Linked DNA regions of Elephas maximus indicus. The protein of the gene in region 1 binds, or shares a complex with, the protein of each later gene. Links are inferred from orthologs where the notes say so. Each region holds a gene or a part of one and is shown in the gene's direction. Other genes may lie near its edges. The genes, in order: RRN3 and TAF1A.

The links.
Region 2: RRN3 (region 1) and TAF1A share a complex: the UniProt entries of both Homo sapiens proteins name them as parts of the pol I pre-initiation complex. The link is inferred for Elephas maximus indicus from reciprocal best matches to the Homo sapiens genes RRN3 and TAF1A.

What each region holds. Positions count from the first base shown.
Region 1 is NC_064830.1:75,845,423-75,854,442, forward strand, and holds the start of RRN3 (RNA polymerase I-specific transcription initiation factor RRN3), read left to right. Parts: upstream 1-3,910; 5' UTR 3,911-3,964; coding exon 3,965-4,053; intron 4,054-5,502; coding exon 5,503-5,608; intron 5,609-6,904; coding exon 6,905-6,961; intron 6,962-9,020. UniProt on the Homo sapiens protein: Required for efficient transcription initiation by RNA polymerase I (Pol I). Required for the formation of the competent pre-initiation complex (PIC).
Region 2 is NC_064842.1:12,221,861-12,230,880, reverse strand, and holds the start of TAF1A (TATA box-binding protein-associated factor RNA polymerase I subunit A), read left to right. Parts: upstream 1-3,232; 5' UTR 3,233-3,296; intron 3,297-5,062; 5' UTR 5,063-5,103; coding exon 5,104-5,224; intron 5,225-7,782; coding exon 7,783-7,952; intron 7,953-8,892; exon of another isoform or gene 8,893-9,020. UniProt on the Homo sapiens protein: Component of the transcription factor SL1/TIF-IB complex, which is involved in the assembly of the PIC (pre-initiation complex) during RNA polymerase I-dependent transcription.

The sequences.
Region 1 (9,020 bases):
ATCCCCAGCACCATTCTCCTACTGACAGACATTAAATTTTGTTAGTTGCTTCTAAATCTTTTCTCATAAACACACATACACATGTATATTGTAAAAGTATATATTCCAGTGTTCACATATTGTTAAGCAGCTTGCTTTTTCACTTAATACATCTTGGAGATCTTTCCATTTTGGGAATGAAAGCGCTTATTTTTTTATGAATATATAATATTCTATTGAGTGGATATATCATAGTTAATTTAGCCTGTTATTGATGGACAATTTGGTTATTTCCAATTTAATTTTTTTCCTTTTTTTGCCAATTCAACTTTTTACAGGTATACAACTAATTGGAATCAATTACATTAATTGGCTGTGCAACCCTACCCTTAATCAATGCAGGTTTTTCCATCACTGTAAACAGAAACCAATTTAATAATTTTTTATGCAATAATAAATATGGACCTTGGTCAGCTGTTAATGATTAACCTTTGATCTTAAGAAACCCAGTGGTCATTTAGTCCAGTCCCTCCCCCAAGGAAACTAACAAAAATCCTAAGCAGACTGCCTAAGATCACATAGCTAGTTAGTGGCAGAGGCTGGACAGCCCTGAGTGTGAGTCCTCTTTCCATCAAATCACTGTAATTATCATTTCACTGCATTATAAATATCAAACTCAAACCAAACCTGTTGCTGTTGAGTTGATTCCTACTCATAGCAACCCTATAGGACAGAGTAGAACTGCCCCATGGGGTTTCCAAGGAGTAGCTGGTAGATTCAAACTGCTGACATTTTGGTTAGCAGCCAAGTTCTTAACCACTGTGCCACCAGGGTTCTGCATTATAAACAGCCTCCTTAAAAAACAAACAAAAAGCATCTTCTTAGAAATTCGAACTTGAGCTCTAAAATAGCTCAAAAAGTAAATTACTATTCTCATTTTATAGGTAAGGAAACCGGTTCTGAGAATTTAAAGTAGTTGCCCAAAGTCACAGAGTAAATGAAAAAGCTGGAATTTGAATCCTGCTCCATGTGACTCTAGGCTCTAAAGGGTGAAATTCTATAAGCAAATCAACCAATTCCAAATAAAAAAAAATTTTTTAAGTAATCCTGTTAGTGATAATTTCTTCTTTCCCCATTATATGAATTAATATACTTCATTGTACCAAATAAACAGACAACTTCGTATACACTTTTATGCTTAAGCTAACTCCAGTTAGTTTCTGTTACTGCTAGCCAAGAGGTTTAACCAACAGTATTATATATTGCTCTAGGGATGGTTGCAGAATTCATCTCTAGGGCACAACTGCTCTTTTAAAAAAAAAAACAGTTTAATCGGTCTTCTGGGTATATGAAAGTAAAGCAAAAATTCATTCTGGAATGAAGAAGCTCGGAACAATTAGGAACAACCGTGATGCACAGTGATATAAAAGGGTGGCTACATTGGCCAAGGCTGCATCTTTTTCGGGGGGGAGGTGAGAGGAGAGAGGTCTCTTTATTTTTTCTGATTAGGGCTGGAGACAAGGGAAGATAGGGCTCTAGGGAAGGCAAGACTGGATGAAGGAGACTTTTATCCTGGGAAGATGGGTTGGCCCATGTCCAAGGGGACTAAGTAGTGATTCCCCAGTGAAGGAGCATGTCAAAGAACCCAAATAATGAATTATACTATTTGGTTTTAAGTTTTTTTCTTGTATTATTCTCAGGCTTCCATTTAAATTTTATGTTAAACATGGAAGCCTGGTCTTAGCTGAGCTTTAGGAGAATAAGGAAGGAGCTGTGCTCAAGCTTAAGGAGAAGAAGATACTGCTGGAAGCTCTTTGTCTCTTTCCAAACCAACAACCCTGCCCTAGAAAAATGCTTACGCATGTGCATCAGACAACTATACAGGAATACTCATAGCAGTAACGTACAGGATAGCACAAATTAAAAAAAAAAGAAACTATGAATGTCTAGTGATAGAGTGGATAAATAAATTGTAATTCATATAATGGAATGGGAATCAACGGGTTGGCAATGGATTTGGTTTTTTGAATAGGCCAGAGAAAATAAACCACAACTATATACAACAGGGATGGATTTTAGAAGCATATTGTTGATTGAAATAAGCAAGCAGCAGTGTGATACACCTTGGAAATAATTGTATAAAATTTTTCAATTTTATAAAACTAAACATTGTTTAATTTTGTGGTTTAGGAATAAAACAAAGTATAATTTTAAAAAATCAGGATAGTGATGACCTTTGGGAGGAAAGCAGGGAGAAGGTGGGGCCTGGAAGGAGCACACAGGAAGTTTCAATCATTTAGGTTAACGGTCTGTTTCTTAAATTGGGTGGTACTTTCACAGGTGTTCATTTATTATGTTTTGTAGTTTATATTAACATATTCTTTTGTACATATCAACTTTTTAAAACGAAAGAATAAAGTATTTGTCAAATTGCTTGACAGTACAAAGTTACTCTTCCACTCAGTGTATGAGAGTACTGATGAACTGTGATTAAAACAGCTTTTTTTTCTTTTCCTTTGGAGGAGGAAAGGAAGAAATTCCCACTTAAACAGCTGTCTTGAAGCGTCCTTGCCAACTAGGGCACAATCACTTCCTCTGCTCTTCGGACGTTGTTGACTTCTGCCCAACATTCCCCAGAAACTCTGAAGCAGTGAGGGAAGAAATGGTGGTGGGACTGAATAGAGACAGCAGAAAGACAGTTACTATTTTACACTGTTGCAAAACAGAATTGCCCTTTATACCTAACAATTATATTAGCTGTAACCGCCCCTTAGTATTGAGGGGAGGGACAGTCCCTCCTTTACCTTTGCCTCCTCCCCTCCATGCTTTGGCACCTACTGTTCTCTGTTGTTAGTTGCCATCTAGTCCATTCTGACTCAGGACCACCCCATGTGTGCAGAATAGCTCCTTAGGGCTTTCGAGGCTGCGACCTTTCAGAAGCAGATCACCAGGCCTTTCTTTCCAGGAGCCTCTGGGTAGGTCTGAGTTCAAACCGCCAACCTTTGTGGCTAGTAGTCAAGCACTTAACCACTTCCACGACCACCACTCAGCTGCTTTGTTAGGTTGGCTAGCTACTGTTCCTCCTTTAAAACTTCAAGTTCAAAGGTTAACACCTCTTGGAAACTGCCTTTGCCCCATTTCTCATTCCAGCATCACCACTCACAGCTCTGAGAGTTTAGAGTAAGTCACTTGCCAAGACTCAGTTTCCTTGTGGATAAGATTATCTCGGGCGCCTGTGAGGATAGTGCGGAGGTTATAGAGCCCAGGGTCCTTGGTCACGCAACCTGGCTCTCATTCTTGGCCACCCCTTTTCTCTGTGAGGGTTTGAGTTACTCACAGGGCCTCAGTTTCCGCATTTATGCTCAATTATCATGTTTGTAGAAGTGCTTTGACTAAAGAATGTTTTAATACTCAGTGGAACCCAGCGACTGCTTAGCCCCTCCCAGCGCCCTCCGTCTTCCTTTGGGATCCTCAGTGTTAAAAGGAGCTCCTTGGGTGGCGCAAGCTGTTTCTGCTGGATCAGAGGTAGGCAGTTGGAATTCACCCTGCAGAGCCACAGAAGAAAGGCCTGGCGACATGCTTCCGTAAAGGTTACAGCCAAGAAAACCCAGTGACCTCAGTTCTACTCTGTAACACATGGGGTTGCCATGGGTGTGAATCAACCGGGCAGCAATGGGTTTGTTACTTTGGTTTTGGCTAGAAGAAGCCGCTGCCCCCCGTTTTTAAGGCCACCCTCGGCGTTTCCCGCCTCACTGGGCAGACAAAATCTTCAAATTAGGAGGGGCGGCTGGGAGGCGGGGCTGAAGGGCTGAGGGGGAGACTTGGCGGCGCTCTAGCCCGCCGACATCGCCTTGCTCTCCTCTCCTGGGCTCCCTCATTGGCCGAAGTCTGTCGCTTACGCGCCCGCGGCTTCCGGTACGGAGGCGGTAGCTGGAGGCAGGACGACTTCCGGCGCGAGGCGCAGCAGTGGAGCTTGTGCGGGCCAATGGCGGCGCCGCTACTTCACACGCGGTTGCCCGGGGATGTGGCCGCTTCGGCCTCTGCGGTCAAGACGCTGGGGGCCGCGAGGACTGGGTAAGGGTCGAAGTCCCCCTTCCTTTTGAGCGTTAGGGACTAAAGCCCAGGCCCGGGGTTGGGGCAGCGGATATGAAAGACGCAAAGCTGATGAAGTGGGGTGGGAGCAGGGGCCAGTGAGTCAACTCAGGTCTTCCAGAGTGATTTATTCCCCCGAAGTGGCTGATGGAGGCGGGAGGGGGCGTTGGAAAAATAAATGAGCCCCTTCTCTGTTCCGGGGGCCTCCTTTCTCCTCACTGGTCTCCCTCATAGCGTCCCTGGCCTGGATACTGCCATCAGTCACTTTCCACCTTCCCTAGTCTAGATTTGGAACGAATTCCCTGGGCTATGTGGATTATCAGATAAATGCTATCAGTGCGGGTAAATTACGTCCTAAAATATTTTTTCTTGTTTTAAATTGGTGTGACACATTTGTTTAACAGTCTTTATTCAGCTCTTGTAAAGCTTCCAGCCAACTTAGAACATTTTGAGATTTAACTTTGAGATTCATTGGTAGGAATGAATGTTTTGTCACTAATCTGCTCTGTTTCAATAAGGCGAAGTTTGTGAAACACTTAGCATGCTATCACAGGATATTTATTGAGCACATACTTACTACATTAGTTACTGGGGACAGTAGTCAATCAAAAGACAAGGTGCCTGCTGGAAACAAGTTTACAATCTGGGGCAGAAAGGCAGTAAACATACCAATAAATAAATGAACAGAATGATATCAGATAGTGCTAAGTACTGTGAAGAAATAAAACAGTGATGGAGGAGGAAGAGGGTGGGCACTTTAGAATTCTTGTGGGGATGGGCTTTCTCACATTTGAGCGGCAACTTGAATGAAGACAAAAAAGAGAAAGTGTTTTTGATAGATACAAAGTTATTACCACTTTGTACAGATACTGGTTTGCCGGAGCGAAATGAGAATCAGCTTGTCAAGTGTGAAGAACAGAAAGAGCAGTATGGCCACAGTGTAGCAAGTGGTCAGAGATGAGGTCAGAGAGGTGGGCAAGGGCCAGATTAATGTAGGATCTTGAAGGCCACAGTAAGGAGTCTGGATTTTTATTCTAAGTGCAGCAATAAGGCATTGGAGAGTTCAACAGGAGAACAGTGTGGCACAGTCTGTTTTAACTGTCTGAAACAAGTCTGGCTGCTCAGTGAAGAATGAATTATTGGGGGCAAGAGGGGAAGCAGGGAGACTGTTTAGGCTTTTGGAGTAGTCCCATTGAATGATGTTGGTTGCCATCAAGTCAACTCTGACTCATAGCTACCGTATAGGACAAAGTAGAACTGCCCCATAGGGTTTCCAAGGAGAGCTGGTAGATATGAACTGCTGACCTTTTGGTTAGCAGCTGAGCTCTTAACCACTGCGCTACCAGGGCTTAACCTCAGTTAATGTTGGCTATTATAATTTTTATTATTCTCTGTCATGAAATTAATCATTTGATAATCTTTGTTCTACAGGATTTCAGATATGCTCACATTAGAGAATGATTTCTTCAATTCTCCCCCAAGAAAAACAGTTCGGTTTGGTGGAACTGTGACAGAAGTCTTGCTGAAGTACAAAAAGGTAAAGGAAGAGATAACGTGTGAGGACTGGTTTATGTGGGTCAGAATACACCCACAGCTTTTATACTAAAGACCAATAAAAACCCATTGCCATCGAGTTGATTCCAATTTATAGCAGCCCTATAGGACAGAGTAGAACTACCCCATAGAGCTTCCAAGGAGTGCTTGGTGGATTCGAACTGCTGAGCTTTTGCTTAGCAGCCATAGCACTTAACCACTATGCCATCAGGGTTTCCAAAGATCAATAGGCATAATGAAATGAGTTTTTGGTATCGGCCTTGAAGCTATTTCATAACAGCTCAAAATTAGAGTAATAACAAGTCTTTGCTGAGGTTTCACCTCTTCAAATGTTATATTTACACATTTTTTTTTTATCTATGCTTGAGTAAAAAACCATTAGATCAGAGCATTTTATCTTCCTAAGGAATTACCTGAGCATTACTTTGAAACAATAAACCAGCTTTGCAGAAAGACGTTTTTGTTGTGTTTTTTTTTTTTTGGAATTTGTTTTTGCAGTTGTTTAGAAGTAATGCTGTTAGATCTCAGTGATGGAGGGGAAAATATAGATGACTATCCATTTGTGTACATGATATCAATTTATAGCCATATATGTGAATCATATTTTCATTCCCCCTGAATTAGATATAAAAAAAAAAACCCGTTGCTGTCGGTCAGTTCTGACTCATAGCGACCCTATAGGACAGAGTAGAACTGCCGCATAGAGTTCCCAAGGAGTACCTGGTGAATTCGAACTGCTGACCTTTTGGCTAGCAGCCATAGCACTTAACCACTATACCACCAGGGTGTCCTGAATGAGATATAGTGATTTTTTTTCTCATTTTGAGAATTCTCAGAGTACAAACTATCATAATCAAATATCAGTACACAAGTATATATCTTAAGTAAATGTGAATGGTTTTTCAGTTGTCCTTTTTTCCAAGCTGCCTGGCTCCACTAACATTAGTTTTTAAACTTTTGTAGTCTTGATTTTATAATCCTCAATTGATGTGTGGAAATTATATTATTCCTTTTGTAATTTCGGAAGATATTAAGGTATAGTTAAGAGTCCTGCTGTTGATCTTTAATAGGAAACGAGAGCAAACCAGGGCTTTGACCAGTTCGTTTTGGTTCAGCCCCTGATGAGAATTTGCCATTCCACTGTAGACATACTGAATCAGAATCTACATTTTAACAGGATCCCCAGGTGATTTGGGATGTGTATACATAAGAATCACCTGGGGATCTTGTTCAAAGCCCTGAAACAAACATAACCTCATTTTTTTCTCTTCTCGTTAAGGGTGAAACAAATGACTTTGAGTTGTTGAAGAACCAGCTGTCAGATCCAGACATAAAGGTAATTAATTTTGCGTTTGGTCATTAGCAGTGTTATTGCCACTTTGTACAGACGGTAGTTTGCACTTTTGGTCCATTTCATCCTCTAGAATTTGCTCTCTTCAGCTCCTTCTTATACAGTGGTTCACAGTCGGGGCAGTTTTATTCTGTAGGGGATAGTTGGCAGTGCCTGGAGTTACTTGTGGTTGTCCTAGCTGGGAAAGGAAAGTGTTACTGGCATTTAGTGGGTAGATGACAGGAATGCTGCTGAATATCCTACAACACACAGGAAAGCCCTCTACAACGAAGTATTTTCTGGCCCAAATGTCAGTGGTGCTGAGGTTGGGAAACCCTTGTTTAATCCCTTTCTTTATCGCATCTTTTTCCTCTCTCCTGGCATGCAAGTCTCAAGTTTCCAGTGCTAAGATAAAACAAAAACCACAAAGAAAAATGACTTGTCTTTGAAGCTACTACTGCATGTTCACCGTTGACAAGTTGAAAGTATATACCTGTCATGTAATAACAACTCAGTAAATTTTGGCTCCCTTTTTTTCCTTCACTGCCCAAATTTGGAAAGAATAGTCTTTACAGTATATTTTATATCCAGGTTGGTAAGTCTACCTTCACCGAGTTCTTTCGGCTGCATATCCAGAGTTCTCAACTGGTGCGGCAGTGGGGGCAGCTGTTTCTTCTTTAACTCCATTTACAGTCAATTTGTATTTCACTTGCAGCCTTATTACATGTCATTTCTTTACTTTCTTTGTTGGCCAACTCCCTTTTTTGATTATACATTTTTGTAGCGTCTCATGGATTAATCATTGGGAGACAAGTAACACAGCTAGAGTACATTTTGTTATCTGTGTATGAACTGAATAATGTGTAGTGAACAATTGTAGCTGGACTTGGAAAGACTTTGTAGTGACCAGTCGTAGTTGGACTTTGAAAGAAGTGATGTTATTTGTCCCTGTAATGATGTACATCTGTTACTTATGTAGTGAGTGGTGGATTGAACAGCTAGCAGTGAAGTTTGTATCTTATGCAATTACAGTTAATATACCATGGTGACTGAAATTTGGGTTTACAGGCAGTCCCCGGGTTAGAAACTTACAACCTCTAGTTATGAACCAGCCCCCATAAAGCCTATTATATTAAAAATTTGAGGTACATACAGTGGTTCGTAATAACAAATAGGTGCTACTTTGCAACATGCATAAAAACGTTATTATTATTACTATATTATGTTATGGATGTTTTAGTGTTCCTGGAAGTGTTTAATGTTTTTATACATAGAAGGGTATACTATATACTAAGATAAACATTTAACTAACTGATGTTAGATATTAAGCATTCCTTACTTCTGACTTGTGTACAAATTTGACTTAAAGACAGACTTAGGAATGAAACTCGTGTGTAATCCAGGGACTGCCTGTATTAGAAATGTGCAAAGTGAAGGACTGCCTGTATTTCTAACAACCAGAGTTGGTTCGTTTGGTTTAAATATCGGATTCTCCTTCTGAAGGAAAACTACAAATGGGATTTTATTGTTGTTAGGTGTTGTTGAATCAATTTTTGACTCATAGCGACCCCATGTGACACTGCCCCATAGGCATTTCTAGATTGTAATCCTTATGGGAAGGAGCCCTGGCAGTGCAGTGTTTAAGCACTCAGGTGCTAACTGAAAAGTCAGTGGTTCAAACTTACCAGGTGTTCCACCAGAGAAAGGACCTGGCAATCAGCTTTCAATCTAGGAACCCCTATGGGGCAGTTCTACTTTGTCCTGTATAGTTGCTATGAGTAGGAATCGACTTGATGGCACACAACAGTCTTCATGGAAGCAAATCACCAGGTCTTTCTCTCACAGAGCCACTAGGTGGGCTCAAACCACCAACCTTTTGATTAGCCGCCGAGCACTTAACTGTTGCATCACCAAGAGCCCTTCTTATATTGATGACTTCCAATTAAAGTTGGAATTGACTCGATGGCAGCAGGTTTGTTTTTTTTTTTAACTGACTATTGTCAGCATACCTGCAGGTCAGCTTGAATATGGAGAAAATATAGGTAGCGATTGGTCCTAACTGTGT
Region 2 (9,020 bases), on another chromosome or scaffold:
GGACACATCATCAGGAAAGGCCAATCACTAGAAAAAGCTATCACATTTAATAAAGCAGAAGGTTAGCTAAAATGAGGGAAACCCTCGATGGATGGATTGACCCAATAGCCACAACAATGGACTCCAACATATCAATGATCATGTAGATGGCACAGAGCCAGGCAACATTTCATTTTGTTATACTTAAGGTGGCCATGAGTTGGAGCTGAATTGAGGGCAATAAACAACAGTTGGATAATATTTTTCTCTATGTTATTATGTGATCTGTTTTTGTTTTTATGTTATTGCTTTTGCCACATTGATTTTTTAAAGTCGTATTCATGCTATTAACTGTTGTATAGTATAGTTAATTTATGAAGATGTCTCTCCAATCGTTTAGTTGTCTGAAGCTCATTCTTCAGTAGACTGCACAGGAAAGGCTCATGGGACTACTCTTCTCTACATGTCAGTGTGCAGGCTTTTTTGTTTTTTAATGTAATTCATCATCATATTCAGTGGCTCTTTAGCACAAAGCAGTTGTGAGAACACCTTTCAGTTCTTTGGGATGTTTTCTAGATAGGAGTCTGTCTGCTTTTTGCAGGCTTCATTTTATTTTGTTTGCATTTTTGACATGTCATTCCTTTTTTATCTTGTTTATAATATTAGCTTAGACATAATATGGTCCATAAATTTTTACCAGAGTGATACCATGAGAAAGACAAGAGGAAGGTAGGGCACATAATGATAGTCATTCTTTACTTTCCCTCTTTTATGTACTGTGGCCGAGAGGTGTTGAAGAACTTTAAGGAAAACCAGATATTCTTTCTCCATTTTTGTGACAGTATGAATTTCTAGCCATGTATACAGGCATACCTTGGAGATATTGCGCATTGGGTTCCAGACCACCGCAATACAGCAAATATTGCAATAAAGTAAGTCGCACAAAATTTTTGGTTTCCCAGTGCATGTAAAAGTTATGTTCACACTATACTGTAGTCTATTAAGTGTGCAACAGCATTACATCTAAAAAAACAATATACATACCTTAATTAAAAAATACTTTATTGCTAAAAAATGCTAATCGTCATCTGAGCCTTCAGTGAGCCGTGAAGGGTCTTTTGCTGGTGAAGGGTCTTGCCTTGATGTTGACAGCTGCTGACTGCTCCGGGTGGCTGTGACAACTTCTTCAAATAAGACAGTCGTGAAATGTGCTGCATTGACTGATTCTTCCTTTCACAAAAGATTTCTCTGTAGCACATAATGCTGTCTGATAACATTTTACGCACGGTAGAACTTCTTTCAAAATCGGAGTCAATCCTCTCAAACCCTGCCACTGCTTTATCAACTAAGTTTATGTAATATTGTAAATCCTTTGTTGTGATTAACAATGTTCGTGGCATCTTCACCAGGAGTAGATCCCATCTCAAGAAAACTCTTTCTCGGCTAATCGTAAGAAGCAACTCTTCATCCATTAAAGTTTTATCATGAGATTACAGCCATTCAGTCCATCTTCAGGTGCTACTTCTAATTCTAGTTCTCTTGCTATTTCCACCATATCTGCAGTTACTTCCTCCACTAAAGTCTTGAACCCCTCGAAGTCATCCATGAGGGCTGGAATCAACTTCTTCCAAACTCCTGTTAATATTGATATTTTATGTTATATGTCACGGCAAAGGAATAAATACAGACTGACCAAGGCTATAGACTAGAGGCTAATGGCTATGTTCTTTTGTGTGTGTGCCCTCCTGGACCACACTGTGATTTAGGTCATCCCTGCCCTGGGAAGCTTGGGCACAGGCTTATGTGGGGCCAAGCACTTATGACACAAGGGGCAGCAGGAGGAACTTTTCTTGCAAGTCCGTAACTATTGCAGTGTTTACTAAGACAACACAGAACCAAGTATTCATAGCATTTCAAGGAGTCCATGTATAAGGTGTTACTGTTGTTGTTCTTAGCTGCCGGCAAGTCAGTTCCAGCTCATAACGACCCTGTGTACAAGAGAACAAAACACTGCCCAGTCCCGCCCCATCCTCACAATCTTTACTATGCTTCAGCCCACTGTTGCAGCCTGCTGTGTCAATCCATCTCATTGATGGTCTTCCTCTTTTTTACTCACCCTCCACTTTGCCAAGCATGATGTCCTTCTCCAGGGACTGGTCCCTCCTGGTAACATGCTCAAGTTATGGGAGGCAGTCTCGCCATCCTTGCTTCTAAGAAACATTCTGGCAGTCCTTCCAAGACAGGTTTGTTCATTCTTCTGGCAGTCCATGGTATATTCAGTATTCTTTGCCAACACCATAATTCAAAGGCATCACTTCTCCCTTGGTCTTCCTAGATCCTTTAATTTCCTCTATAATATCTTGATTCTGCCCAAATGGTTCACTCTTTTGGGAGGAGAAACCCCAAGGTTCCTGGGGGGAGCCTATGTCATTATTTGTGCAGGCTTAGGTGTGAACAAAATTCTTTCTTGGAATGACTTTAAAGCTGCCCTCCTTTAGCTTTCACCTGTTAGTGCTAGTTCTGTACTCTGATGCTATGAAAAGGTAGTTGAAGCCTTCTTTCACAGATCAGCTGTCCAAACACTGGAGACATACAGTGTATTCCCACGTGTCTCTGCTTTTCCCAGATCGTCATCTCTACAACCCCTCAACTGTCTATTATTTTACATAGTTTAACCGTCTTACTTCCAACCCGATCCCTATTTCATATAGGTTTGTCAGTGTCCTTCATGAAAGGTGGCCCTAAACACGTACGCAGAACAGCCCCCGTTGAGAAGAAAAACGAGATTCTAGCTCAAATTATGGTGAAGTAGTCAGAGACACTTAAACTTTAATAAAAAAGAAAAGAGCTCTTAAGAAAGTAAAGAATATGCAACAATCTATCTTGTAATGCCAGCAGCCAGCCTCCGGTAGCGCAGTGCACCTAAGCCCAGCAGAAACCGAACGGTCATCGCAGAGTAAAGAACTCGAGTAAAGTGACATTCTGCATTTTTGACTGTTCCTCCCAACCAGTTGCTCTCCTGTTGCCTAATCCCCATTTGCAATTAAATTTTCCCACTCTCCGGCTGCAGGTAACAACAACATACATCCGGAGACAAGCCACCAGGGGCGCGTCGGTTTCAGTCACTTCCGGGGTCGAATAGCGGCGATGACGTCACAGCCGAAGTGGTTGTTAGAGGTGGGGGGGGTTGCGTCACGAGGCGCCAGAGCGCCGGCGGCCGATTTTGCGCATGCTCACAAGAAGCGGTGGCCGGCGTCACTTCCGGTTCCGGTTCTCCAACGCTGTTCCGCGAAAGAGGAGGCGAGAGCAGCAGACAGGTAAATGTCCCGCACGATGTCCCTCGTTCATCGCTTGTGCTAGGGTTCATCCGTGCTCTTCTAATATTTTCTCCAGATACCCTGGAACCTTCAATTCTAAGAACAAGTGAGAGGAGGTGGAAAAGCTTTAGTTACCGTGATAACTGCGGGACAACATTTTGGGTCTGCGAATTTGAGAAGGGAGCTCTTCTGTAACGACCCCTTTAAAATACAGCTGGTGGTCGGACTCAAATTTAGATCTTATATAAAACCCTTGTTCCTAACTGCAGAATTAGGTTTTGCAAAGTTTAGTGTGGCTGTATTGTGAAGAGGCAAAATTTGGCTGTATTGTGAAGAGGCAAAATTTGAGGCAGCGTTTTTACCGTTACCCGTTGCCGTCGAGTCGATTCCGACTCATAGCGACCCCACAGGACAGAATAGAACTGCCCCGTAGAGTTTCTAAGGAGCACCTGGTGGATTCGAACTGCCAGCCTTTTGGTTAGCAGCTGTAGCACTTAACCACTACACCACCAGGGTTTCCTGGTTGTGTCAAGAGTACCTAATAATTGATTGGATATGGAGAATTAAGCATCTTCAGGATCAAGTCCAAACCCAGCCTGTCATGTGACTATCTTTCTAGGTTCCTTTCTCACCATCAGTTCCAACTGCCTTCCGCTGCCCTCCTCCACACCCCCACACCCCCAACTCCAGCCCTGTCAAGCTGTTTGATGTTACTTCTATTTCCTGAAATGTCGCCCTCATCCTTCTTGTGACATTGGGCAGCGTAGTTACCTTCACTAATTATTTTCCTCCATTTTAATGTTGAAGAAACTGAGTGGCTACTTTTAGGAAGTAGGAAGAACGTCAAACTGCTTGTCAGGGCTAGAGTTTGGGGGCTTGTGTGAAGGAGGGATGCGAAAGGTAGAACTGACCGTGAGAGAGGAACCTGGAAAGATAATCATATGCCAGGCTGACTTTGGACTTGATCCTGAAGATGCTCAGGGTAGAAAAAAAAAACACCCCACTGGTGTTGAGTGGATTCGAACTCATAGCAACCCTATAGGACAGGGTAGAACGGCCCCATAGTTACCAAGGAGTGCCTGGTGGATTTGAACTGCCAGCCTCCTGGTTAGCAGCCGTAGTACTTAAGCGCTAAGCCACCAGGGTACCTCTCCCTAATTCCCCATGTGCAGTCAGTTATTAGGTACTGTTGATGCTACCTCCAAATATTTCTCCGATATTCTCTCTTTAGGATTGCTGTTATTTAATTTAGGATTAGATTAGATAATTTATATGCCTGGCATATAGTAGGAGCCCTGGTGGCACAGTGGTTAATAGCTGCAGCTGCTACTCAAAAGGTTGGCAGTTTGAATCCAGCAGTTGCTCCTTGGAAACCCTATGGGGGACAGTTCTGCTTTGTCCCATAGGGCTGCTATGAGTTAGAATCAACTGAGTGGCAATGGGTTTGGCATATAGTAAGGATTTAAAAAATTTAGGCAAGTGCTACTACTGTTACTATCATGCTTGTTATATTGTTTTATTATGTACTTTTCTGTTTCTCTAGACTAGGTTTTTTTTTTTTAAACAGTATCATTTATATTTGTATATTCTTGGCACATAGTAGTTACTGAGTTTTTTTATCAAAAGGACCATATGTTTTGGCTGTTACTGATATAATTAAATTCATTTTTTACTTTAAAGGAACTATGAAGTACAGTGAATTCTGCTGAGTAAATGATATTTATTAGATGGCTTTTTTTTTTTTTTTTTTTGGTATAACTCAAAAGCCTATGGATTAAGGTGCACGTATTCCCAGTTTGGAATAGGTATGAGTGACTTCAGTGGCGAATTGACGAGGCCTATGGCCGAGGCTGATCAGGTGGAAAAATCAATGCTCTCTGGTACAGGAATGTCTATTCCTTGGCTCCGAAAGCAAATGGAAACTGTGGGTAAGTAAAATAACATCTAACCATTTTAACCTGATGCAAGGAGATGGTAAGGTTCAATGTGGATACAAAATGAAGAATCAGGCTGGGAAGAGCTTCCGTTTTCAAGATGGGAATATGTGAGATTTTTTTCTAGCCATGAGAAAAGAAAATAAACTGTAAAAAAAACATAGATTTTTTCTCTTGTAGAGTTCTTTTCCTTTGAATTAACAGTAAATAGTCTGTATTGTGGCAGTGTCGTAAGTTCGAGGGATATTAGGACTAATCAAGGAAGAAGATGTGACCGTGAGATTGAAGTTTGGCACAACAAAGTTTTCATTGGGTAGCCGTATGCAGGAGACCTTCTGTTGTGGCTTGAACCGTGTCCCTCAAAAATGTGTGTCAACTTGGTTAGGCCATGATTCCCAGTATTGTGTGGTTGTCCTCCATTTTGTGGTTGTAATTTTATGTTAAAGAGGATTAGGGTGGGATGTAACACCATTGCTCAGGTCACATCCCTGATCCAACGTAAAGGGAGTTTCCCTGGAGTGTGGCCTGCACCACATTTTATCTTACAAGAGATAAAAGGAAAGGGAAGCAAGCAGAGAGTTGGGGACCTCATACCACCAAGAAAGAAGCACCTAGAGCAGAGCACATACTTTGGACCTGAGGTTCCCGCAGGGAGAAGCTCTTAGTCCAGGGGAAGATTGAAGACAAGGACCTTCCTCCAGAGCCAACAGAGAGAGAAAGGCTTCCCCTGGAGCTGACACCCTGAATTAGGACTTCTAGCCTACTAGACTGTGAGAAAATAAATTTCTCTTTGTTAAAGCTGTCCACTTGTGGTATTTCTGTTAGAGCAGCACTAGACAACCAGGACACCTTCCACAGGCAGCAGACATAGAGAGCCATCAGAGGGGAAAAAACCAAGTCCTTTGCCACCGAGTTGATGCTGACTCCTAACGACCCTATAAGACAGAGTAGAACCCTGGTGGCACAGTGGTTAAATGCTTAGCTGCTAAACCAAAAGGTCAGCATTTTGAATCCACCACCTGTTCCCTGGAAACCCTATGGGACAGTTCTACTCCATCCTATAGGGATGCTATGAGTTGGAATAGGCTTGACGGCAATGGGTTAGCCTAGAGTGTTGTAGTGTAGGAAGTTACTCTTAAATTAGGTCTGTAACTAAATGCATTCTTAACATGGTGTCTTAGGCTGCGTTCTCTAGAGGAGCAAAACCAGTGATGCGTACGTTACGTTGTTGTTAGGTGCCATTGAGTCAGTTCCAACTTCTAGTGACCCTATGTACAACAGAATGAAACCCTGCCCAGTCCTGTACCATCCTCACAGTTATTGATATGTTTGAGTCCATTGTTGGAGCCATTGTGTCAGTTTATCTTGTTGATGATCCTCCTGTTTTTAATGAAGCGTGTATGCATAAATATATGCACAGGGAGATTTGTCTCAAGGAAATGGCTCATGCAGTTGTGGAGGGTGGCAAATCCCAAATCTGTGGGTGAGGCATCATGCTGGAGGCTTCTCATGACTCGTGGTTGCAGGGGCTGATGAACCTAAAATCGGCAGATTGGGCAGAAGGCTGCTGACTTGGGGTTGCAGGAGCTGGTGAATCCCAGGATCTGTAGGTCAGGTGGCAGGCCAGAGGTCAGAGAATGACAAATCGGATGCAGGATCCAGAGCACAGGAGCTTCGCTGTAACATCTGTATATGTTGGATCCAGGCCACACCGTGAAGGAAACTCCCTTTGCAACTGATTGGCTGCTTATATCAGATCACAAAATGGGGGATGACTATATCAGGCAGAAAAATGGAGGATGATTACATCATTACATAACTGCCAAACTACATCATTATGTAACTGCCATACCACTTAGAATCATGGTCCAGACAAGTTGGCACACAACCTTCACTATCACACATGCTGATTGCCAATACTTTAGATGTAAATGCTAATATCTACAACTATTTTAATCTCATTTGCATTTCATATCATTGAGTTGCTGAAACTCAGTCCTTAAAACCTAAAAGCTTACCTCTTGGAGTTTTCAGAATGTTGGTAAGTAATAAAGATCGTGCTTGCATAGGATGACTCTGATGATTTTTAATACCTGTTCTAAATACCTGAAACTGTGCTTTTGGGAGTCTCTGGGAGCTCCCAAGATTGTTTAGTGCGAGAATGAAAGGATGATTGAATCAGATTTGAAGGGTAACCCAAGAACAACTGGTAACTTAAGAACATCAGATAAGGCATTCTTATTATTAGCTGATAACAGTACGGAAGGGTTTGTTGCAAGTGAACCTGATTTGATACTGAGGATGGGCTGATTCAGTTAACGCCTACTATTCTACTTGTTAACGAAAAGGTCAGCAGTTGGAATCTACCAGGTCCTTCTTGGAGACCCTATTGGGAAGTTCTACTCTGTCCTGTAGGGTCGCTATGAGTCGGAATTGACTTGATGGTTTTTGGTTTTGGTTCTACGTGTGAAAAATTTTGCTTGCCAAAAGTTTTTGAATCATTGAATTGGGGGTCACTACGGGTAAAGTCTGTCTTCTTTTTATCTTTGTAGAGACTGGAGGAAAAAAGGAGAAGGATTTTGCCAAGACAACAAGTGCTTGTTTAGGTTTGATCCAAGAAGCTCTGCTAAAACACCAGTGGGAGAAAGCGGCGGAATATATGCATAGTTATTTTCAGATCTTGGAAGACTCAGATGCCGGCAAAAGGCAGGCTGCCCCTGAGGTAAACAAAGTGTAAGTGTGCTGGAAGATATTAGATCCCTGGGAGTTTCTGCCTCTGGAGCTTACCCAGAGTAGCTTTGTAGATTCCCAAATTGATGTTACCAAAAACTACTAGAAGTAGCTTTGGGTGTAGAGATTGTATCAGGACATTTTTTGTATACTTCTTTTTACTTACTCTCATTTTAAAGGAGACTAAAAATACTTTGAGCTCTAAATTCTCCAATATTCATCATTCCAACACTTCTTTCCTTTTCTACAGAATATTTCCCATCATCATACAGATATGTTTTTTCTTCAGTATTAAAATCATCTCTCACCCCCACGTCCTCCACCAGCTATGCCTCATTTTTCAACTCCCCCTTTCAGCAGAGCTCCTTGAAAGAGGTGAATATACCTGTTCTCTCCAAACCCTCTCCTGTTAGACACCCTTTCCACTCATCGTCACCATTTCAACAGAACTGTTTAGTCGAAGTCAGCAATGACTGCTATGTTGTTCAGTCCAGTAGCAGTTCTTGGTGCTCATCTAACTTGATCTGTCAGCAATATTAACAGTTAGTAGGTGACTCCTTCCTGTGTGATCAATTTTCTCTCTTTGGCTTCTAGGATATTGCACTTTCTCTTCATTTTCTCTCCTACTTCACTGACTATTCTTCAGTCCTCTTTTCTGGTTGCTGCTCTTCTCCCTGGCCTTTTGGCTTGGGAGTGCCCCAGGGCTCAATCCTTTGTCCTCTTCCTGATGTTTACTCACTTGATTATCTCATTCAGTTTCATCACCTTAAATATCTATTGCTCGTGAGTCTCAGTCCTATATCTCTGGCCCTGACTTCACTGTTTATTTCCAGATTCCTGTATCCAGCTGTCTACACCCCACATCACCACTTGGATATTTAATGATCGTATTATCCTAACTAATATATTATAAAAAAAAAATAAAAATACTGTGTCTGAAATGGAACTTCTGGTCTTCTCCCTTAAGCCCGATCTTCCTTACTTCAGGTGGTTACTTTATTTTTTCTTTATGTAGTTGCTAGGGCTGAAAATTCTGGAGTCATCCTTTTCTCTCCCATAC